Arabidopsis thaliana: one gene and its partners. The protein of the gene in region 2 purifies or fractionates together with the protein of the main gene of each other region. This does not show direct contact. Each region holds a gene or a part of one and is shown on either strand. Other genes may lie near its edges. The genes, in order: EIF4E, AT4G18330 and AT4G39520.

The links.
Region 1: the proteins of AT4G18330 (region 2) and EIF4E fractionate together in Arabidopsis thaliana (co-fractionation; one large-scale study listed by BioGRID). This does not show direct contact.
Region 3: the proteins of AT4G18330 (region 2) and AT4G39520 fractionate together in Arabidopsis thaliana (co-fractionation; one large-scale study listed by BioGRID). This does not show direct contact.

The regions. Positions count from the first base shown.
Region 1 is NC_003075.7:10,014,435-10,021,326, forward strand, and holds EIF4E (eukaryotic translation initiation factor 4E), read right to left. Parts: upstream 3,799-6,892; 5' UTR 3,718-3,798; coding exon 3,419-3,717; intron 2,976-3,418; coding exon 2,810-2,975; intron 2,715-2,809; coding exon 2,589-2,714; intron 2,496-2,588; coding exon 2,430-2,495; intron 2,341-2,429; coding exon 2,290-2,340; 3' UTR 2,096-2,289; downstream 1-2,095. Other genes in the region: AT4G18030 (S-adenosyl-L-methionine-dependent methyltransferases superfamily protein), read right to left, coding at 1-105, 186-833. UniProt on the Arabidopsis thaliana protein: Component of the protein complex eIF4F, which is involved in the recognition of the mRNA cap, ATP-dependent unwinding of 5'-terminal secondary structure and recruitment of mRNA to the ribosome.
Region 2 is NC_003075.7:10,123,554-10,131,253, reverse strand, and holds AT4G18330 (Translation elongation factor EF1A/initiation factor IF2gamma family protein), read right to left. Parts: upstream 4,676-7,700; 5' UTR 4,591-4,675; intron 4,519-4,590; 5' UTR 4,508-4,518; coding exon 4,381-4,507; intron 4,292-4,380; coding exon 4,117-4,291; intron 4,040-4,116; coding exon 3,937-4,039; intron 3,854-3,936; coding exon 3,626-3,853; intron 3,533-3,625; coding exon 3,314-3,532; intron 3,231-3,313; coding exon 2,667-3,230; 3' UTR 2,520-2,666; downstream 1-2,519. Other genes in the region: AT4G18340 (Glycosyl hydrolase superfamily protein), read left to right, coding at 101-809, 935-1,009; AT4G18335 (uncharacterized protein), read right to left, coding at 1,891-2,385; AT4G18320 (uncharacterized protein), read right to left, coding at 5,276-6,238.
Region 3 is NC_003075.7:18,368,737-18,377,416, forward strand, and holds AT4G39520 (GTP-binding protein-like protein), read right to left. Parts: upstream 5,504-8,680; 5' UTR 5,265-5,503; coding exon 5,223-5,264; intron 5,072-5,222; coding exon 5,018-5,071; intron 4,624-5,017; coding exon 4,447-4,623; intron 4,190-4,446; coding exon 4,118-4,189; intron 3,816-4,117; coding exon 3,756-3,815; intron 3,679-3,755; coding exon 3,569-3,678; intron 3,477-3,568; coding exon 3,177-3,476; intron 3,094-3,176; coding exon 2,902-3,093; intron 2,802-2,901; coding exon 2,750-2,801; intron 2,644-2,749; coding exon 2,593-2,643; 3' UTR 2,129-2,592; downstream 1-2,128. Other genes in the region: CYP96A12 (cytochrome P450, family 96, subfamily A, polypeptide 12), read right to left, coding at 209-1,735; AT4G39530 (Tetratricopeptide repeat (TPR)-like superfamily protein), read right to left, coding at 6,000-8,504. UniProt on the Arabidopsis thaliana protein: Binds GDP and GTP, and has low GTPase activity in vitro.

The DNA of each region.
Region 1 (6,892 bases), 110 kb from region 2:
ACCTCTCTCAAGCGCAAACTGGACTTGTGCTTCGTGGTTATCCCTTGGCGCAAACGACATAGTCAAAACATTCCTCTTAAGCATATAAGCACCCCAACTAGCAACCTAGAGATGGTAAATTAGCATCAATAAGAATCTAAGAAATGAATAAGATATGTTACTAGATCAAACAGAAATCGACTTACCCCACATCCAGTGTCCAATGCGGTTCTAACAGAGCCATCTTTGATAGGGATAACAGAAGCTAGCTCTTCAATATACGCATCAGCACCTTGAGGAAACATAGTTCCTCCACCAGGGAATTTAAACACATTCCCTTGAAACTGAACCCAATTCTGTCCAGCTTTTTCGACAGTCAAGCTCTTGAAAGGAGCATTAGCATAGTGAACATAATCTCTGCTTTTAGGCCAAGGGAAAGGAGTCATATACCCTTTAGGAGCTGGAACAAGACAACGCAGCTTCTCATTATCAGGAGGACAATGTCTCTCTCTGTAAATCATGTTCTCTCTCGGGAACTTCATAGCTCGGTCTTGCTCTTGACAAGGCGTGTAATCCTTGAGCTTCACATCACACGGTTTGAAAGAAACAGGTTTGGGATCAGCTTTATGTGGGATCTTCACTGTGTTGTGATGAGGTTCAAAATCAAGATCAGTGACAATGTCAGTACACTGCGCTTGCTTTGTAATCTCCATAGCTATGCTATCTCCTTTACCAAACCCACTCTTTTGCCATGCTCCAAGAAGATAGAAGAAACAACATAAACCAACCACAACGAGTAGAGATAGTGTACTTCTCGATCTGTTATTCCCTGGTGGGTTATGCTTAGAACCCATGATTCTTTCTAATCTCCTGAAACCATTCCCAACAAATCACAAACTTGATTCTCAGTATAACGACACAACTTTGAGCTTAAACATCAAGATCTGTTAAAAAAGGATCTAGCTAATTCAAACTAATCAAAACCTAGCCTTTAACAATTGAAATCTAGAGTTTATGGATTCAAAAGACTAATCCTAACATAGAAAGATTCAAAGACCGTAACTTTAGCACTGAAATCGAAAACACAGAATCGGATCTCGTTGAAACAGAGCTAGAACACGAACTAACAGTAGAGAAAAATATTGAACCTGGTCGATGTAGATCTTGTTGAAGCAGAGAGACTCTAAAATTTCTCTTATCAGATCTCTCTGGTTTAAGCTCTTTTCAGTGATGAGCTTGCAGTAGCCAGAAAGTATAAAGCTTTGTGAGTGTGACAGAGAGAGAACTCACTTAAAATAATGTCTTCTTCTTCTTTGTCTTCACTAATTAAGATTTGATTTTTAACTTGAAGATGAAGGCGCGTTTGATTTTATTCAATTTCTATAAACAAAACATGTTGGAATTAAATGTGTGTAGTTTCGCAGCAAGATCTTCATAACAATATTATTACAATACTCAATAGATTTAGATCTAATCTGGACTGCACATGCATCCTTATGTTTATTTTTATTCAACCTCTTTTGTGTGCGTTTATATATATAAACCTATACTTTATTATTTTGCATATTTGAAGCTTTTGGGTAGTTGATTGTAGCTATTTAAAATCAATTTCAGATTATGGTTTAGCATAATTGGAAAACCTTTTGTTTATATATTAAAAAAGATCAAATCCATATGCTATAAGATTGCATAATAATAGAAAGGAAAATTTTATTTGTTGAAACGAGTGATGTATTATTATTAGCCGAAGAATCTTGTCGTCCCAAGTGGTCCTTTTCAGACAGTTGGACAATTTACATACTCGCTACTTAGATCTCCTACCGACACTCCCATTTCCTCTAAACCGGTCACCGTCAAAAACCGAGTTAATCGGTTCACACTGCTAAATAATCATTCCATTAAAATAAATGCTGAGGTGGATCTTTAAAACCTAAATTAAAAGGTTAATTATAAAGGATGTAAATGTGACAATGTAAAAGTAGTTTTCTCTAAAACCGGTTAAAGTCAATCGCTCATGAGTGTACATGGGCTCTTGTCAAGTAAACATATACACTATTCAGGCTTTTAAGGCCCGCCTTGGGTAGACAGAAGCACTGTTTGTCTGTAAAGCTTGCGCTCACTCCGGTGGTTTTATACAAGGGCACCAACGTAAATATTATGAAGAACCATACTAATATATTACTAAATGAAATGTTAGAGCTTCGTGAACAATCAACACTAGCAAAGACAGACTGTCAAGTCATGTTTAGATAAATAGAGATCTCTCACATACAAAACTGTAATTGAAACAATGCAAAGATTTGAGAGGTTTCAAGCGGTGTAAGCGTTCTTTGCATTCCTGTCGAGCTTCTTCGCATCCTCCTGAAAAAAAAAGAAACCAAACCAAACAATGAGAGATCTGAAGAAAATGAAGACTTTTGAATTAGAATTATGAGAAGCTTTCTTCTTACATGGATGATGAAACCTATGCTGTTGTTGTAATCGAGAAACTCCTTCCATTGTTTTCCAATGCTCACCTGCAACATTTGATGCAGACGAGAATTAAAGTCTTATTTTTACACAGAGAGACTGTTTGATGAGTTTTGATGAGAAAGGTCTTTTCTATTTACCTGAGCAGCTTCGTTTGAAGCATTTTTAGTCCAAATAGATATCCTTTCTTGCTTTCCTCTAATGTTGACAACTGCTCCACATATTTCATCTCCATGATCAAACTGCTCTCCAATCAATGCAAGCAACTAAACCAAGCATGTAAAAAGAAAAACCGGTGAGATTCAATTGGATGATGACGCAGGAGTTACGAGTCAAAATAAAAGAAGAATAGAAACCGTACAGTGTAGAGCCAGCTCTTATCAGACTTCTCCTTAGGGAAAGTCATAGTCCATTTTCCTCCATTAGCACAAATAGGATCCTCCCACTTAGGTTCAATGATGTGTTTGAAACAGTAGAAGTCAGCTCCGTGAGCTAACTTGCTCGGATGCTTCATGTTGTTGTACAAACTGCAAACCAAAATGTCTTTTAAAATAAGAAGTCGAAAGAACAATACACAAACCTATGAATCTCATTGGGAAGAGCAAGAACTATACAACATCAACCCTCAGTCATCACGAAAGTGTTTGCTCAAATTCTGATACCTAGAAAACCACTAAGAAAGATTTCAAAGTTGGTCTCTTTCTCTCACAAACTTTGCTCTTCTACTTTACTTCACAAACAAGTGAACAGAATATCAAAGCTAAACCCTAACATAAGCTTTAGCTACGAATTCAAACACCAAACATAGCAATTCATCAAAAACATATAATGACTTCAATGGGATCTTCTAATCCCCCAATAAAGAACATAACTTTCCTCAACAAATCGAAACCTATAACAAAACCCAGATGCAGAATAATTGAACAAACCAGATATTGAGTCGGAAATAAAATAAAATCAAAAACCTAACCTCCAAAATTCCTCAACAGTTGAAAACGTAAACACGGGTCGCAAGGAACTTCCCCAAGAGGTTTGTTTCGATTTCACAGCAGGATTATCGAACCAGAAAGTCCATGAATGTTCCAGAGGATGCGATTCAGGAACACCGGATTTGCTCGATTCGTCAACGTTTCCGTCTCCTTCTCCTCCGGCGATCTCTCCTTCTTCGGCATCATCACCTTCCTCATGGTATCGATCAATCGGATTCTCTATTGAATTAGGCTTAGCTTCTTCCGTTACAACAGATTTGGGAGTGTCTTCTACCGCCATTGTTTCTCCGAACTGCTTCTCTTTCTCTCTATCTCTCTGTCTATTACTCTTCTCCAAACTAATGTACTTCCTCTCGTAGGGTTAACTATGATACGACGTCGTTTTAATTACATACTTCTTGTCTTTTTTCTTTTTGGGCCGAAGAGATAACTTAACAACTATTATGGGCTTTAACTTGTCTCCGGCTCTTTTTGCTCTTAAAGGTTTTTCTAATGGTCGTGTTAGTTTGAAGTACATGTACTAAATTATGTTTGTTTTGTAGTCTTCAAAAAAATCAAATAATTTTAGTGATTAACGTTAATTCAAAATATGAAACGTGAAAATGTTTATAGACTGAATTTTTAGTCATTAGTTGATGAAATCAGTCACCAAAACTGGTTGCCAAATTCGATTATTGAATTACTAACCACATAAACAAACAACAAACTTTAGAATTGGTTGTTTTCGTTAGTTTGGTCGTTGATCGCTAGCAGCTACAAAAAAGTTAAGAAAACATGTTGTTATTGTCAGAACTGTAAAACGAACATGATCAGGTTTTTATATGCTTTCACAAAAGCATATAATATGATTATTAAGAAAATGTGAAGTATTTTGTAGACTGTCAAAAGTTTGAGAGATTTATATCTTATGGAAGTGTTAATAGCTTTTGACTATATAAGTGAGTTTGTCTTACCTTTCTATTTCTAAAGGTTGTGATCTGCCTGCCGCCCCATAATAGTATTTCTTTTAAGATATTAAATTGTTTATGTACCTAGTTTGGGTTAATTAATATATATAATATGTTAGACCAACAAGACAACTGGATTATATTCTAAATCTAAACAATATACAATTGTGTTTAAGTTCCGTGCATGTAAATTTAAAAGTTTAAATCAGTGGATATACCACGTACAGAAACAAAACGAAATTTCTTATATTCATTCCATTGGTTTTATCGGTCAAACGAAAGAAAGGAGAAAATAAAAAGATTTCATAATGTTTCGCAGTCGAATGTATTCTATTACTTCATAGTTGATAGAGACGTATAACTAAGTGAAGCTGGTTCTATTCCATTAACTGTCAGAATTTGTTTATTGTGCATCACTACTCACTAGTAACTTAGTAAGTAGTAACTAATTGTGCAGAATATACTCAAAAAAGTTATTCTCGACACCAGGAGAGACTATAAATATAGAGTTTGGTTTTTGTTTACATTTCTATGCTATATATTCTTTAGATTTTATAAGAAATAAGATTATTTGATTCGCTGCAAAAACATAATTGCATGGCTTGTCTATATGCCGTCAAACCAAGAATCTCGAATGTTAGTTATACACGTTTCAAATATATATTTGATATGAGTTATTCGAGAATATATTTATAATGATAGTACATACGTAATTCGAAAAGAATAAGTTTAAGTTTGCTTTAGTTGTCAACCATTCTTTATACCAAAAATAAATAAATTGTCAACCATTCTTTATACCAAAAATAAATAAATTGTCAACCATTCTTAATCTAACTTCTCAGTGCGTGTGATTTTTTTTTAAGCAGATGTAAGAAAGAAAAAGGTTGTCGACGTTAATCATGGCTCATGCAATGAATCAAATAAACTTATTTTATATTTATCAACATATTTTATATACGGGAGATTTTTCAAATCTATCGACTTTTTTGTTTAGCAACGAGCGCTTAATGATGGTCGATAGATCAAAGTTTGTCGCTAGTTGACGTTTTCTTTTGTAGTAAAGAACTGATCAACAGTTTTTTTTTTTCTTTTTTTTTTTGTAAAGTTTAGAAGTGACTGCCTGACTGGTATTGACGACACAAGTGATAATTGATAAATGATGAGTTTGGATCGTATGAATTGACTTGTATGGTAATATTGCATAACGCGTCATCGTTTCTCCCATTATTCTATAAAGATTAGAATCAAAATCTCTTTTTAATTTCTTTTCAACTTTTAAAAAATTAACATTAATATTTACTTTTGAAAAGAAAGTAAACTTACAAAACATGTCCAAAGAACAGAGAAAATTTGAATCCATAATTGATGTACATTCTTTTTATGAAAAGATATGTAAGACTTACATAGAGTATATATAATTTAAATTGTAAAAAGAAATTTAAAGGAAATGGAAAACAAGGTTAATGCATACTTTGCTTCATCTTTTTTTATTAATCACTTTTATCAAAAATATATAAATTAATCACTATATTCTTTGGGTTTTCTTTTCCTTGACACTGTCATGAACATTTATGCGCTATACATGTAATCATTTCACATCAAATTGTCACTGATTAAGTTCACTCGAATATAATTGTCACTGATTACGTAATCATTGGTGAATGATGATGCCCAAGGAAGCAAACTTGTCTCTTATCTGGTGTTTATATTTGTTTGAAGTTATCTCATAACAACAACTCGATGCCAGAAAATTTTATGCCACAACAACAACTAAAATTATAGCTTGAATCTATCAATGAGCGGTGAACTATCCGTATGGCCCGTGCTTGGGAGATATATACCTAAGTAAGTGTTGTTTGATTATAAGAATTATTTCTCTTTGATATATATCGTACACCACATGATTTATATTACTCATTTCCTTTCATTATGCACATTTTATACAATTTTCACACATTAAAAACTATAAATTCATCTTATAATTAACATTTATGATATGCAATTTCATTTTATTTCATTAACTAAGAAAGCAAAAATTAAACAGAAAAGTTTGGAACTTAATTTTTAAAATATACATTGAAAAATATTTTTTGTTAAAGTATATAACAACATTTATTATGAAAAATGGAGTAATACTTAGAGAACACTTATAAGTTATCAACTATACACATATATACCATCTTTTCCAAAAGCAAGTTTTCACACAAATTTGCGGATATAAAGATGTTTGATTCTCCACTAAGGATTATCCTTAATCCATATGACTAAATTATTTTTAATATGATTCTTGTTAACTCTAAACCAATCAATTAATATGCCGACAAAAAAAAAGACCAATCAATATTATATTATACGTGTACTTTTTAGGCTTTTAGCTTCCCATCTTAATAACAAAAGTAGAACATTTACACCAAAAACAAAACAAAACTAGAACATAATAAGTGAATACAAAATTAAGCAAATAAAGAGTGTAACAGTTATATTATTATTTAGTTTGCTATCTGAACA
Region 2 (7,700 bases):
TTATTAAACTCCACTTTGAATTTCAATAAGAAATGAGTGTAATAGTTTTTGTCCAATAATTGCTAATTTTGACTATATTCTCTCCTCTTTTTGGTAATAGATACATGATGCCGGCGATAATCAACATCCACAAAGCCTTGGTCCAATTAGGTTTAGATAGATACATTCAAGTCTCGTCTCCAAGCTCTCTTGCCGTCCTCGGTGAATCTTATCCTCCATCTGCCGGAAGTTTCAAGCCGGAGGTTTCCTCCGTGATGCAACAACTTCTAGATTTCTTGGAAGCCACGAAATCTCCTTTTTGGATAAATGCTTACCCTTACTTTGCCTACAAAGATAACCCACAAGAAATCCCAGTCGATTACGTTCTATTCAACCGTAACATCGGCATGACCGATCCCAACACAAGACTACACTACGACAACATGATGTATGCTCAAGTTGACGCAGTTGCTTTCGCGGCTGCGAAACTAGGGTACCGTAACATAGAAGTTAGGGTTGCGGAAACAGGGTGGCCTTCAAAAGGAGATGTCGGAGAGATTGGAGCGTCTCCTGTGAATGCTGCCACGTATAACCGGAATCTTATGATGAGGCAATTCGCCGGAGAAGGAACTCCAGCGAGACGGAATGCAAGACTCGATGTTTATATATTTGCGTTGTTCAATGAAGATATGAAACCAGGTCCTACTTCGGAGAAAAACTACGGTATATTCCAACCAGATGGATCATTAGCTTACAATTTGGGATTCTCTACAATGTCGACAACGACGGCAAATTCAGAATCTGTCACTTATTCATCCTCTGCCACTAAGGTACGATTAGTATTATGTGGTGAATTTTGTTAGAATTTGGAATTATTGGGGCCACGACGAGAATAAGTTTGTGAAAGGACTAGATGTGCAAAATGAATTAATTCTCTGTTTTCTTCTTCTTTCAGGCAAAGAGGAGCTTGGAGTATTGGACAATTTTGATATTGGCGATGGTTCAAGTTGTAATGTTGAGACTATTTTAGAGGAAAAGTTATTGACAATATAATAACGCGATTGTTTAGGATATTTATGTAAACAATTTAATTATAAGCTTGATAAATATAATTTATATTCAATTCAACATTCAAATGAAGTCGGTCAATAGTGAAAATTCTAAATTTATTGTTGTCGTTAACAAGTAATTGACATATATAATAAAGAAACAAAGTTTACTTTTTAAGAAAAACTTGTCGTATATGAAAAGGTTTGAGTAAGTAGTAACTTTGACCAAAAGGCATATAATCGATAACCAGTAGCGGTTTAGAATCAACCATATATTTTTTTCCCTCTAATTCAAGAAATATGGCATAGCTTAATTCATTTGTATATGTTGTTGGATATTTTAAATACAATCCCTAGCTAGTTATATAATATAGATATTAGAATGCAAACATATGCATTGGAGTGGACGGTACGAAGAATTGGAACTGAAGCTAAGAAAAAAAAGCCATGAAACAAGAGCTTATGCTCACGATGCAAATTCACATGCTCATTTCCAATTATATCGGCTCAATATACTCCCTTGTTCTTGCCACAAACGATGCGTTTTGACCTTGAAAACATAGACACATATGCTTTTTTCTCTCCATATATTATTTTACCGATCAGTCAAGTTTAGTTTTATAGAATAAAATAATTCAGCTGCACGTAAGGAAAAATAAGTACTTTCTGAAAAATCAAAGGACACGAACAATCAAACATTAGTATGCAAATTATTTTCATACACTTGACCGTCAAAAATGCACTGATCAATGCACCGGTCATTCCGAACAAAAAAGAAAAAAAAATCTTTAAAAGATGAAAAATACAAAAGTGCGACGAGAGGAACAAAATCGTTTCACGTACGACGTATCGGCAACGATATCTAGGGTTGTGTAGAAAGATCGCAAAAGAGAGTAGTAGCGGAATTAGGGTTCTGGTTATGGCATGGAGATGAACCGGAAGGAGGTACGAATCCTTTGGGAAGCATAACCGAGAAAGTATCCTGTCGAACCGGACGGTTTAAACCGTTATTCTTCTTGGCCATCATCTTGAAGTAGCCAGCACGATGATGAAGACCACGGCGATGACGAAGAGTATGTCGATAGTAGTAGTAGTATTGGTGATTGTAACGACGACGACGGTGGTTGTCTCGTTGCAACCGCTGGTTCAAGATAAACGGTGTCGTTTTCTTGATGTAGACGAGTTGGTGCGGTGATTCGTAACCGTTGAGATAAGCTTCCGTTTTTTGTGTTGATGATACTCTTGTTTCTTGATTCGAAGATGATGATGATGGTGAGATGAGGAAGACGAGAGTGAGAATAAGAGAGACGATGAAGCTTTTTAGAAGACTCTGTTTCATCAAAACCAAATCTTCCATTGGGATTGAAAGAGAGTATAGGGTTTTGGCTGAGAGTAAGAGAGAGCGTAAAGATGAAACAAAAGCTCAGAACGAGGAGGGAATTAGAATTATATAATTCCTAATTAGTGATAAGTAATATCATTAATGAAATTATGAATTTGTTTTTTAAATTTTCGTCAATGTTGTGTTAAATATGAATATAGTTTTATATTGTAGTCGAAAGAAAGTGATTAAACATACAAAGGCACATGTTAATTATTTTTGAATGCAAACAATATAAAAAACTCATCACTACTTCATTAGAAAGGAGGAGGAGGAACATCGATGGTGGTTCCAGCCATAATCTGACCCTTACCAATTAGACGCCAATGCCTATCGACACGTCGGCTTAAAGCAACCTTCTCTCCTATGGTGGTACACACCGGAGACGTCAGTTGGAGTTTCACCATATCTTTCTTGACTCCAATAACCTTAGCTCCCGTAGACATAGACCCGATGTTCACCATCAATATCTCTTCTTTGGTTAGCTTTGACACTTTCATTTGCTTCTCTTTTTCCTTTGTCCTCACTCCAATGAGACGAGTCAGAAGCTGGTAACTTACTTCAAGCTCAACAAAGACGTCAGGGAGAGTACCCATTTCACCAAGGACTTGACCAACCAACCTATCAGCACGCGTAAGCGTAGGGTCCATGGTTGTTCCAACTCCGATTAGACCTCCCGGTACAGCAAACTGAAGCTCGTTCTGTTCCGCGTATAGTGAAGTTATACGCGAGTAAATTGGAGTGCATTTTGAGTTTCCATGCTCATCTTTGCCAGTGATACCAGGTCTAATTTCAATCAGTTGGTTCACTTTCAAAACACCCAAACAAAGAGAGACACATATTAATACTAAATTGTTTCACAGTCAGGTAAGAACAGAGGAGAAACAGAGAGATAAAAACATACCTGGAGGATACTTCCACCAGCAACACCACCTTTCATTTCATGACCCGCCGAGCCAGGTTTATTGACATCGAAAGAACGAATCACAATCATCTTTGGTGGTGACACAAAGTCTCTCACAGGGATTGGAATCTTCTTGACAATGTATTCACTCACAACATCAATGTTGTATTTCAGTTGTGCTGAGACAGGAACTATAGGTGCATCCTCAGCATTCGTGTTCTGCAACATTATATATGTGACAGAAAATATGAGAACCAAACTGATGAAGTCATGAAAGATTTAACAACAGAGAGATAAGAAAATTGATCAAACCGTTATAAATTTCTGAATAGCCTCGTGCTGTTCAGTGGCGGCTTTCTCATTAATGAGATCAATCTTGTTCTGAAGGATTATGATATGCTTAAGGCGCATCATATCAACAGAAGCAAGATGTTCAGCGGTTTGTGGTTGTGGACAACTCTCGTTAGCAGCAATTAGAAGTAAAGCACCATCCACGATTGCTGCTCCATTGAGCATTGTCGCCATAAGAATATCATGTCCCTGATGAATAAAAAACAACTCAGTTACATATAGCCAATGGTTCTAGTTTTGAGAGACAAAGTGTAAATTAAACTCATTAATACCGGACAATCGACACATGAGACATGTCTCCGTAGTGTCATCTTGCAATTCTCAAATCCGGGGACATCACAAGTTGGGTTGTCTTCTTTTCCACTCCCATATGACCTAAAATTAACAGATTAGCTGCTGCTACACATAATAACACTTAGCCTTATTATATCAAAAAGAAGATTATGACTCACTTGTAGCACATTGGTCTAGGGCACTTGTCATCCTCACACTTGTAAATCTTTGCATTTGCATAACCAAGCTTAATGGTAATGTTACGCTCTAATTCATTCTTAAAACGCACAGTCTGAACACCAGAGATAGCTTTCACTATAGTCGATTTACCGTGAGCGACATGACCAATGGTTCCTGAGATATATTTAGCACAGTATTGGTTTCTTTGACATCAAGTTATACTATAGACCTAGAGGAGCTGGCAAAAGCAGAGTGTAATTTACCGATATTTATGGTTGCTTGGCGAGAAATGACTTCAGGAAACAGAGGATGTAACTTTGTTACATCAAGCTTAGTTAGATCTTGCTCCGCCAAACCCTTGTTACGCGAAATTAACACAGATTGAACCATCTTTAATCCTGCTAAAACAACGAGATCAATGAAAATTCTGAAATCGATATTAGGGTTTATATACAAAACGATTTCATGCATACCTTGGTTTCTGTTCACAAAACACCACAATAATTTCGATACTCAGTCGATTCCGACAAACCTGAGTACTATAAAGTCTCGATTTTGTTTAATCAGTCTCTTACACTTTGTTGTCCGAAAAATGTTGAGCTCGCTCGATGACAGTTAAAGATTTGTAAGATTGGGGAAGAAGTTTACACGTGGAAGGTAAAAAATGTAGGGTTTTGTAAACCTTTTTTTCATTGCCTTATGATTAACTAGGCCCATTCTTATTATTAGTAAAACCATTAGCACCCAATACGGCCCAATATTGAAAACCTGTAAATTTAAACTCGAATTTGTAATCGGAGTTGAGTTTTTTTTGTAGAGGAGCCAAATAAGAGAACATCTTTTGTAGAATTTTTCATTTTACTCTTTGCTAAACAATTTTTTTAAAAAAAATATGTTTTACATATATTAACGAAGAGATGTACACCGAATTAAGAGTTCTTTGTTTGTCTATTAAGTTTAACGTAAAAATAAACAATAAAAGATCAGCATTTTTATAAACAAACCAAAGTAGAGTTTCTAACGAAACCACAATGAGTAGAGTTTGCAACACAATAAATAGAAATTAATACTAAAAATCTTAAACCACACAAATAAAAGATAGATAACGAAAACAATCACAGAGAAATAACTTAAAGAGTCAAGTGGTAGAACATTAGGCTAAGCGCGAACCTCAACCCAAACTCCGTCAGTGTAAGAAACGATTTGGTTGTTAGCACCCCAAGTGCGGTTTTTCACTCTCTCGCGATCAGTTTTAGTGCCGATAATGTCTAGAGTTTGTGGAAATATCTGAAGTCGATGTTTGATCTGATCAAAAGATTGGCCGTGGAAAGGATTCCATTCGATGGTATCATTCTCTTGAGTATTTGAGACATTCCAATTTTGGGTTCGGAAGGTGAAGTCAAGAGTATGGCCCCATAAAATAATTGATATTTTGTCCACAGATGGGGAGAGGGAATCTATAGTCGAACCACAAATTGGATGGTTGAAGGTAGGGATACGAGTCACTGACCAGTTCTGATCCCAGTCTCCGTTACTCTTGGCTACATAATATATTTGTCGACTAGGAGCATGCATATGCGCTATCACCATATGATTATTTTCGTGAAAGCTATCGGCTAGGAGACAAGCATAAGTGTTGTCTTGACGGGGATCTCCGGTGAGCACACCGTAACGGATCACACATGGGTTATCAGTGGTGAGAAGGGGTAGTTGGTACCGTTGTGAAGTGAACGGGTTGTATAAGAAAGCTTGGTGGTCTTGACGTCGGTGTATGGCACTGGAGTTGGACATAACAACCCAACCCAATGTTGATCCTAAGAATTTGGCCCCTTCAAGATATGGGTCTTTCCCATGATGTAGCTCCTCTCTCACAGGGTCATAGAAATGGGCAACTCGGGATCCCCTTTCACGGTACAACAACCACGGCCTTTCCTCTACGAAACCTCCTTCACGGAAAGAAAGAAATGTGTTCCTCCAATGAGTGTTGACACCTCTTAGTGCCCCACCTTCGGTAAAGTTAGGGTTAAGCAAATTTGTAGAACTTCTGAGGAGATCTTGAGGCAAACTTCCCCATGAATCCCTGCGAGAGAAACAAATTTGAGAGAAGTGAGATGAGAGCATAAACTATAAGAATTAACAAATAAGAACTGGAAGATTATTTTTTTTTTAAAGATGTTCTCAAAAATCCCTCCAAAAAATGAGATGAAACCAAGAAAAATAATTTTGAGAGAAATGAAATCTGATAGCAGAAGGCAGAAGCTATATATATGAGTTACGAAAAAATGGAAGAAGTTTTGTTGCTAGCTACATTTTCAAAAACAAAAATCATTGCAAGAAATGAGTTAATCTGTTTATGGAATGATAGCAAGAATATATTAAATTGTGAGTGGGAAGTTTGTTTAGATACATTTTGAAGAGATCGAGCAGTCTTTAAGTATTTCTTGTTTGAAGAGAGAAATTTCGTTTGAGAAATATAATAATGTGTGGCGTTGGAAGATCGAATGAAGAGAATACAAGTTTTATAGAAAAACTGAACCATAGCTTTAAGTTAAAAGTCAGGCTAGTATACTAAAACGAATATTTTCGTCAGAAATACATTAACACACACAATCCACTAAAATTAACAACAAAATAGATAACAAAATATGATTATGATTTCGTGCTTTCAATCTCATTAGTCATTATCACCATGGTGACGCGCTCTCCAGCCACCATATTTCCAAGCAATCTTATATTAAGTACTTAAGCTTTTTTAAGACTTGATCATAGCCGTCAATTTTTAAGTTTGTTACACTTTCTCTTCTTTTTCCGCGTACCCTAAGTCCATGTTATGAAGTTACCAAAGATGATAATAATGTTTTGCAGACGTAAGGACACAAAAGTAAAGGTTGAATTGGGAAATTTGGAATAACACCGTCACAAGTTAAGTTTCGTTTGACACTCACATTTAAATCTGCTTTACTCTATCTAATCTACAAAACGTTTCGTATGAATTCTTCTGATAGCCTAGTCAAACATATCTCTTGTACATACAAGTATACAACAAACCCTTGATAGATTGATTGATGGGAAATGTCGCAATCTCCAACAAAACAAACAAAAGATTGTTGATGATGCCAGTTAAATAACAGAGTACAATCTCTTAAATGTAAATCATCAACTTACAAAATAGGCTGTATAATGATATTACAATGCAACACATCTAAACTTACGTTTACCAATTTAACTATCTTCTTCTTGAAGAATTCCGCTTGAAGAATTCGACTTGAGAGAGGGATATTTGAGTATATAGTTTTATACTTGTAAATATTCTTTTTACTTCAACTTGATAGAGTATAATACTGGGTGTAACAATACATTTACAGCTAATGAGAAATGATTTGAACCTTGTAACAATACAATAACTCTTTTAGTTAAAAAAAATAGAAAATACATCTCTTGTATAATTTTTCATTTTACTATTTGCTAAACAAACATTTTTAAAAAAATTTGAACCTCCCTTTTTGGACGTTTTCTAATTACAGCTGCCTCTAATAAAAACAGTTCAAAGAAGAATTGACACTAATGAAAAATTCGACTTCTT
Region 3 (8,680 bases), 8.2 Mb from region 2:
ATACACCTAAATTTTGTGATAGATTTTTATTTTATTTTATTTTTACAACTAGTGCAACGTGATTTTGAAAGAAACTAATTTGACAATAGAGATTAACACTTACTTTCGAGAATCAAACAAACCTTGTAATCCTTTGTTATAGCATCTATCTCCGATAGATTTTATTTCAACGGAAAAAGGATTAATTTAAGCATTATACATACAAATTTCAAGCTGAACATCTCTTAGTAATTGTGACTCTAAGCCCATGCTTCATGTGCAACATAAGACCAGGTTCTGGCTCAATCTTCTGTCCTTTGATAACATCAATATCATAGTTTTGTAATATCTCCACAACTACGGTCTTCATTAGAGTCATAGCTAATTGCTTACCAGGACAAGTTCTCGGACCGGCGTTAAATGATAAAAACTTGAAGGAAGGTGCATGTCTCAACCCACCGGACTCAGAAACCCATCTCTCTGGCTTGAACTCTGTTGCATCTTCTCCCCAAACCGCTCTCATCCTTCCCAACGCGAAAAGAAAAATTATGATGACTGAGTTTGCTTCTACCTTATGCCCACTTGGCAGCACATCTGGCTTTATAGGAGACTTGCGTTGGAAGGCAACCGGTGGATAGAGCCTCATTGATTCATACAACGCCGCATGTAAGTAGACCAACTTGTCTAAGTTCTCTTGGCCATTTCTTCCGTCTTTTGAAATATTTTTGTCGATGATCTCTTTACGAATCTTTGTTACAACTTGAGGGTTTTCAGAGAGAAGCCAAAAAAACCAAGAGAGAGCAGAAGACGTTGTGTCTCTCCCAGCAAGATTGAAAGCTAAGATGGTGTCTCTGAGGAACTTATCATCACTCGGGTTCAAGAGCTCGTACTTGGTTGTATCAAGCTTTATGTGAGATGTCAAAAGATCCTCACTTTCACCATTTGCATGATGATCAATCCCCTGTGACCTTATCTCTTCTCTCTTAGCTAATATGTATTTCGCAGAAACGCGATCAAAAGTGGCATCAGCTTCAGTCATCCTCTTCTCTTGCCCTAACCCAAACCGGTTTTGCAGCTTCCAGAAGAACTTCGGTTTAATGTGCCTATAAAAAATCCCTTCTCCAAGATCGTCAAGAGCTTTAGCATACTCCACTTCCGGCATTTCAATAGAGAGAGATTTAGGATCAAACCCGGTAACAATAAAGAAAGTTGTATCAAAAGTGAATCTTTGAAACACTTGCTGCAAATCCACGACCTTCTCTTCCTCACAACATTGATTGAAAAGAGGAACAAGACCATCGTAAAGCTTACTCCTCGTTGCACTCAATGATAGCTTTTGAAAGCCTTGATGATTAAGCATGAATTGAGCAGCTTTTCTTTGATTCTTCCATAGCTCCGAGTCCGAACTAAAGATCATTTCTCCAAAAACATCAAAGACTTCTTTAAAGTCGGCACCTTTGGTATAGTTGGAGAAGTTTGAGCTCAATATGTAGTGAATATTAGCTGGATCAACTGTGAACAACATATCCATTTCAGCGAACCACGGTCCCTTAAATAGAAAGGTTAAGTGGCTCATTTCAAGAGCCTCCACGCCGAAGTTGTAGATGCGGTGGAGAACCATCAGGAAGCCTGGAAGCATCCCAATAACTGGCCAGTTTCGAAAAACCTGACCATGAGGTTTCTTGAAGTACATGTAATAGAAGAAGAAAAGGCAAATGATGGCTATGGCAACGTCAAGTAAGCTTACAGAAGCCATATGAGAGAGTTAGGAGCTTGGTTTACAGACACAATATGGTGGTGGTTCCTTTTGTGTGTTGAAGGAACTTGTTTATATAGAGTAAGATTATTACATATATAAATTAGCAACCAACAAAAAGAAAATTTATTAAAAAAGAAAGAAATTACCAATGCATTCATTCAACTGCTTTTCATATCTTAAGAATTAAGATTAGTGAAAGTGTTAAGCTGGTGAAGCTACTAACCACACAAATGGATGAGACAGAATTGGTGGAGGACTTGTAAAGAAGGGTCCATAATCTTACAATTTCAGACACTAAATGACAAACCAACTTTAAGAGGATAGACAAATCGAGAAGTGCATCAGAATTCACGGTCCCAGACACTGCAACGAAGGTCGTTGTAATAGTTTTCCAAATCTATTAATGTCATTAAATTTAATCAACAGTCCAAGTAACAACTAACTGTCAGAAATAATAACACCTCGACCTGGTCAGTGCAATGAAGGCCGTTTTAACAGTTTTTCTTTATTACATGAAGAAAAACTGAATCATATGTTTAGTAAATAAAATCCAAAAAAGTCTAGTTGCATACATAAAAACAAGGGAGGAGAAAATCTAGGCAAACCCATACTGGAGATAATAGGAGGTGTTCCGACAACATCAATCACATGCTTAATAGTATTATTGGAAGAAGACAAAAGTATCTAATAAGACATAAAAAAGGGTGTAGACACAGATTTCGTCTGGATATAATAATACAATTACAAAAGAAAGATAAAGCTGAGAAACCAAAAGAAATCCTGACCTTCCTATAGGAGATCTCATTATGGCTACTTTGGTTGGTCTCTTGACTGCTCTCCATTATCTGCAAAAATCATATCTTTTTAACGATCTGAACAACATCCTCGTCCTCAAGCTCGTGTTCCTGAAGTATAAAATACGATGTCGAGACAGCAATAGTTAGTTAGTCAGGGATATTGCAATATCGATTTACCAGATTAACTTTTGTTTGATTTGCTAGAAGAACTAACCTTTCCAACTCTTTGTGGCTTGTGTTTGGCACTTGAACCCCAAACCAGAGCGCTGTATCAGGAGATCATTAGTTAAGTATTCATGAGCGATGCTTTTGAGCAAGAACCATATAACAGAGAAAAGAAAAATGTTAAGGATTTTAATTACTTACTACTTGAATTGTTTAAGCATGTCTTTGTGAATCCGGATGCAGAAGTCCTCTACTGTTCTCTTCTTGGATGATAAGATTACGGGATCATCATAATCCGGATTCATTGCCTTTGGTTTTGTGTAGATTCGAGTTAGATCCAAGTATTCCCATATCTTGTCCAGAAGTCCATCAAGATTCCACTCCAGATGCGCACTGCAAGATAAATAAATTTATATCTTAATGGCAAAAGTAAACAAGTTTATCGCAAATCCTGCCGGTAATTTAACAACATTTACCTGACAGGACAGTAATGAGGAAGTTTGTCCAAAATTTCAAGTTCCTCAAGTGTGATTGAATCGATCTTGTTGACAGCATAGATACAGGGCATATAAATCCGACTGCCCTCGATGACATCAATGAGGTCATCAGCGGTTGCATCGTAGCGCAGGGTGATGTCAGCATTGTGCATCCTGTACTCACCGCAAATCGCCTTGACGGTGTCAAGGTCAAGGTGTGTGACAGCGACTGTAGAAGTTAGATTGATACCACCTTTGTCTTTTTTCCTAAATGTTAAATTTGGTGGCTCCTTGTTCAACCTACATAGCAACAGTCCATGATCGAGTCAGACTATCTACCAGAAACGATCAAATATACAGTGTATAAAGGTTGTTATATAAACAATCTATACCTTATTCCGAATCCTTCGAGCTCTTTTTCAATGAGACGCTTGTGAGTAATTGGTTTTATGGCATCAAGAACTATTAAGATGCAGTTGCATGTCCTAGCCGTACTTATAACCTGGAAATAGTAAAGTGTGAAAGATGATCAAAGAGGGTCAAAATATAAAATACTCAAGAGATTTAGACTCGACTTACCTGTCTTCCTCTACCTTTTCCATCTTTAGCACCCTCAATAATACCAGGAAGATCTAATAACTGCAAACACATAGAAGGGGACATAAAAAAGAGTATTAGCATCAGTGTCCAATGAATAATTACAGGTCGTTTCCTGACTTAAACTAAGTACCAAGAAGTCATTAAAAGATCAAGCAAGATACATGTTTAATATAGAAGTAAGACTCGAGAAAAGATAATTACAAGCTAGGACATGGCATATGTAGCCAAGGATTTCATTGTGTTTCAACAATTACCAAGACAGAGGAAACACTATCCAAGAATTATCATTTTTCCCCCACAAATAACAGATTAACACAGACGCATAGATGTAGATACCATACCTGGATTTTAGCTCCACGATATGTGATAACACCAGGAATGCATGTCAAAGTCGTGAACTCATAAGAAGCAACCTGAGAAAACATTGTGTATCACAGTATGTACCTTCAGAAAATTGAGTATCAGCCAAAATACAGTTCTAATTCCAAGATTTATGTTCATCTATCCAGGAAAAGACTAGCGCCGAACAGTCTTGCCTTATAAGTGATATTGCACAGGAAGTTGGTCAAAAAGTAACTAGAAATAGGATGCCATGGATACGTGGTAGGTTTCAAAATTCCAATTACAACAAGAGAAAGGAAGTTCAATATTCGTAACGATAACTACAAACCTCGGAAAATGTCCCAGTCAGCTTGTTTAATAGCGTAGATTTTCCAACCGAAGGAAATCCGACCAGTCCAACTCTAGAATCTCCACTTTTAGTCACATCAAAACCTTCTCCAGCACCACCACCGCCACCTTTGGTAGGCGGTGCAAGAAGGTCCCTCCGAAGCTTAGCAAGCTTGGCCTGCAAAATGGACCAGTGAAATATGACGAGAAGCTAATGGTGCAGGAATAAGTACCAAATTCTAAAATCAATACAGAATAATATATAATGCCTGCCTAGTAGTTGTTTGATCCAAGGAACTTCACAAGAGATCATGCCGTAAATAAAATATCTCAGCTTTGTGCTTATTCAATGATTTGGGAGTTCGTATAAAACATAAACGATTTCAACCAGAAGTTAAAATATTTCTTAATGAGCTTGCTTACTGGTTGGGATTTCATGATAGCTTTTATCAAGTATCAAAACAGATATAAACCAATCAACCAAATTTGCATTTGATAAGCAAAAACACCTCAACCAATCAACCTCACTCTCAAAGCTACAAAAAACGACCTAAAGAGGAGAAAAAATGTACCTTTAACAAACCCAGATGATGAGAAGTAGCTTTATTCTTCTGTGTTTTAGCCATCTGCCACATAAACAAAAAAAACCTCGTACTTGTGAGTCACCCAGATTGAAAAATCATTTCTTTGATTCAGAATAGATATTTCGGATTCACAGTTCTATGCATCCAAAATTGAAGAGAAGAGGTGAAGAATCAGAGAGGATTGAATAATTACCTCATCTTCAATTTCTTTGATCTTCTGCATAATAGTCGACATGGTTGCAGTCAAAGCACAGAGAGCTCACGGAGACAACGTCAAGGAAAAGAGGTTATACGCGAGTGAAAGGAAGAAGGACACCGGAATCTCTGATGCAGAGAAATTGACGACGACGGACGAGACAGAAGCAGAGGAATCCCGAGGGTTTTCGTTTCGTCCACCTGATTACGACAAAGGAGAAAAAACTAGAACAGAACTGTCTAGAATTCGGCCTGACCCAACAACATTTTAGGCCCATATATGTCCGATTTGGTTTTCCGGTTTAATAAAATTTACAACAGAATGAGAATTTAGTTTGGTTATATACAATAAACCCTGTTCTGAATTTTTGTTTTGTTTTGTTTTGAATTGGTGTTTTTCGGTTTTAGTTGATTTCAAAAACGGTTTAACTAAATTCAAATGAATCATGTACAACATACCATTCATGCATTCACCATTACAACTTCTCTCTCAACCCGGTTTTAGGAGATGATGAGAAGAAACTGAGAACTGAACCGGGGTTAATTTTTGAGTCTTCCTTCGGATTTGAACGGAACAGAATCGATTTTCCCTTGATTACAAAACTTAATAGCAACATCTTTGCTCTCCTGAGCTAGCTACCCCTTCAGCTTCTCGATATTAACCATGGCTTATTCTTTCTTCTTTGGCTCGCTTTTAAGCTTCATCTGCTGCATTGGTCTTTAACCAAATAGAGTCCATCACTCCAATAGAAAATGAGTTCTTGTATGGTAGTTATTAACTAACTCCTCTGATCTGCACAAGTAAGTCGTCTAACACTTCATAAATTTGATTAGCCTTGCAGTGAGATTTATCCTTAGACAAAAATATATGAACCTCCTTATTAATCCCAATCCAACTACGTCCAGGTTCTTTCACCACACCTTCAACCTTCATTCTTTCTCTCACCTTCTTAGCTTCAGTCCACATACCCTTGGACGCGTAAATATTAGAAAGCATAGTAAACGATCCACTGTCCTTGGGATCAGACAAAATAGCCATTTCAGCAGCATGTTCAGCTAACTCGACGTTACCGGCCTTTGCGCATCCACTCAGCAAGCTCCTCCATACTATAGCAGCTGGTTTTGTCGGCATTTTCTCAATTAACTCCCTTGCTTTGTTCAATCTACCAGCACGGCCTAAAAGAGATACCATACAAACATAGTGCTCAGTTTCAGGTTCAATTCCAAATCGAAGCATTAACTCAAATTGCTTAAGTCCATCTTCTACAAGACCAGCATGGCTACACGCTGATAGAACTCCAACAAAGGTGATGTAGTTAGGCTCTATTCCCTCACTCATCATTTTTTCAAGCATCTGAAGAGCCTTTTTGCCTTCTCCATGATTCGCATAAGATGAGATGACAGAATTCCAACAAACTACATCTCTTGAAGCTGCTGAATCAAAAGCCTTATGAGCGTCTTCGGGACTACCACATTTGGCGTACATATCTAGTAGAGCATTTGTAATATACGGATTACATTCCAAGCCTCTTTTCAGAAGCTGGCAATGGAACTCTTGACCCAATTGAACACTTGCTAGGTTGCCAGCTGCTGTAACCATGTTGGCAAACGTGAATTCGTCAGGTCTTTCTCTTGATAACTGTAATTCCAGAAACAGGTTGAGAGCTTCTTCGTTCTCTGATTGTTGAACATAACCTGCAAACATAGAATTCCAGATAACAAGATCTTTCACTTTCATTTCATCAAACACAAGCCTGGAATCCTTGAGGCAGTAGCAATTTGAGTAAACATCAATCAAAGCGCTTCCAGCAAATATATCTAAGTTTAACCCATATTTGAACATCAATCCATGGATTTGTTTACTCAGTCCCAAGCTTGTTAAAGAAGCAGATGCACGTAGAAGGCTAACAAAAGTCAATAGGCTAGGTCGAATCAATCTGAACCTCATGTCACGAAAGATGTTCAATGCTTCATGTAGTTCCCATTGTGTCCCAAGTCTCGAGTAACCTTCAATCATTGCATTGAATAAAACCACATCAGCAGCAGCGAAAATATCAAAAACTTTTCTGGCATCGGTCAAACAGTCACATTTCGCATACATGTCAATCAAGCTGTTAGTCACATAGCTATCATTGCCAAGATTGGCTTTGATAGTGTAAGCATGAACTTGTGTTCCAAATCCCAAAGCATGAAGTGAGGCACAAGATGTGAGTATGCTAGAGCAAGCATACATATCCGGCTTTAAACCAAACTTTGACATACTGGTAAACAATTCCATGGCTTCTTTATGAAGAGCGTTCTGCTTATAACCAGAGAGCAAAGTGGTCCACGAAATGATGTTTTTATTCGGCATTCCATTGAATAGCTTATGAGCCGCTATAACTCTGCCACACTTCACATAAGAATCTATAAGCACATTCATCAGTGAGGCATCCATCTCAAGTCCATATCTTAAGATGTGCGCATGAATCTGCTTCCCACCTTCAAGAAACGGAAGTATTGAACATGCACTTAGAACCGTCGAAAGGATGTAGCCATCTGGAACAACATTGTCTTCCATTAGTTGGTAGAACAGCTGTAATGAAACGTAGCTTCTTCCCATTTTTACACACCCACTGATCATGGTCGTCCAAGTCACAGTAGATTTCTCTGGTAAAGCATCAAACACAAGCCTCGCATAATCGATATTACCATCCTTCAAATAAAAATCAATCAACAAGGTACCAACATAAACATCCCTATCAAACCCACTCTTGACAAGAAAACTTTGTAGTTGAAACACCATCCAACGCCCACGACCATCTAAGCCTGAGCAAGCTTGAATAAAACTCGACAAAATATATTCATTCGGACTGTCTTTTCTAGTTCTCCAGAACTCTAAGAAAACCACCAAAGATTCCTCATAAATCCCATGATGGTTGCAAGCTGAAACCATGGTAGACCAAGAAACTAAGTTTCTCTCAGGCATTTTCTCGAACACCTTACGTGCATAAACCATACCACCAGCTCTCGAATACAAATTGATCAAAATGTTGCTAAGATACGTATCTAACTCGAGGCCCCAAACAATAATCTGACCATGAACTACATTTTGATAATGCAACAGATCATCTGACGCACGCAGCTGCAAGAGACGAGCAAATTCGCGCCTTCCTCGGATTCCTATCGTAGAAGGAAAATCTGCGTTTACAAATTCCAAAAGACTTGAAGCAGAAGAAGATGAAGAGGAGTATAAACGTATGGTTTCTTGGACTTTACGCCAACAGCGATAGCTTCTCATCCTCCTGAGTGAGAAGAACAGAGCGTGCTGTGACGAATAAACATGCTGCCGTTTTTTGTCATAAGCGAAGAAAGGGTGATGGAACTAATAAATAAAACGGCAACCAGTTATACTACCAAACATCAAAACGACAGGTGGCTGATGATATTGGATGATTTAAGTTTTTTGGTTAGGTT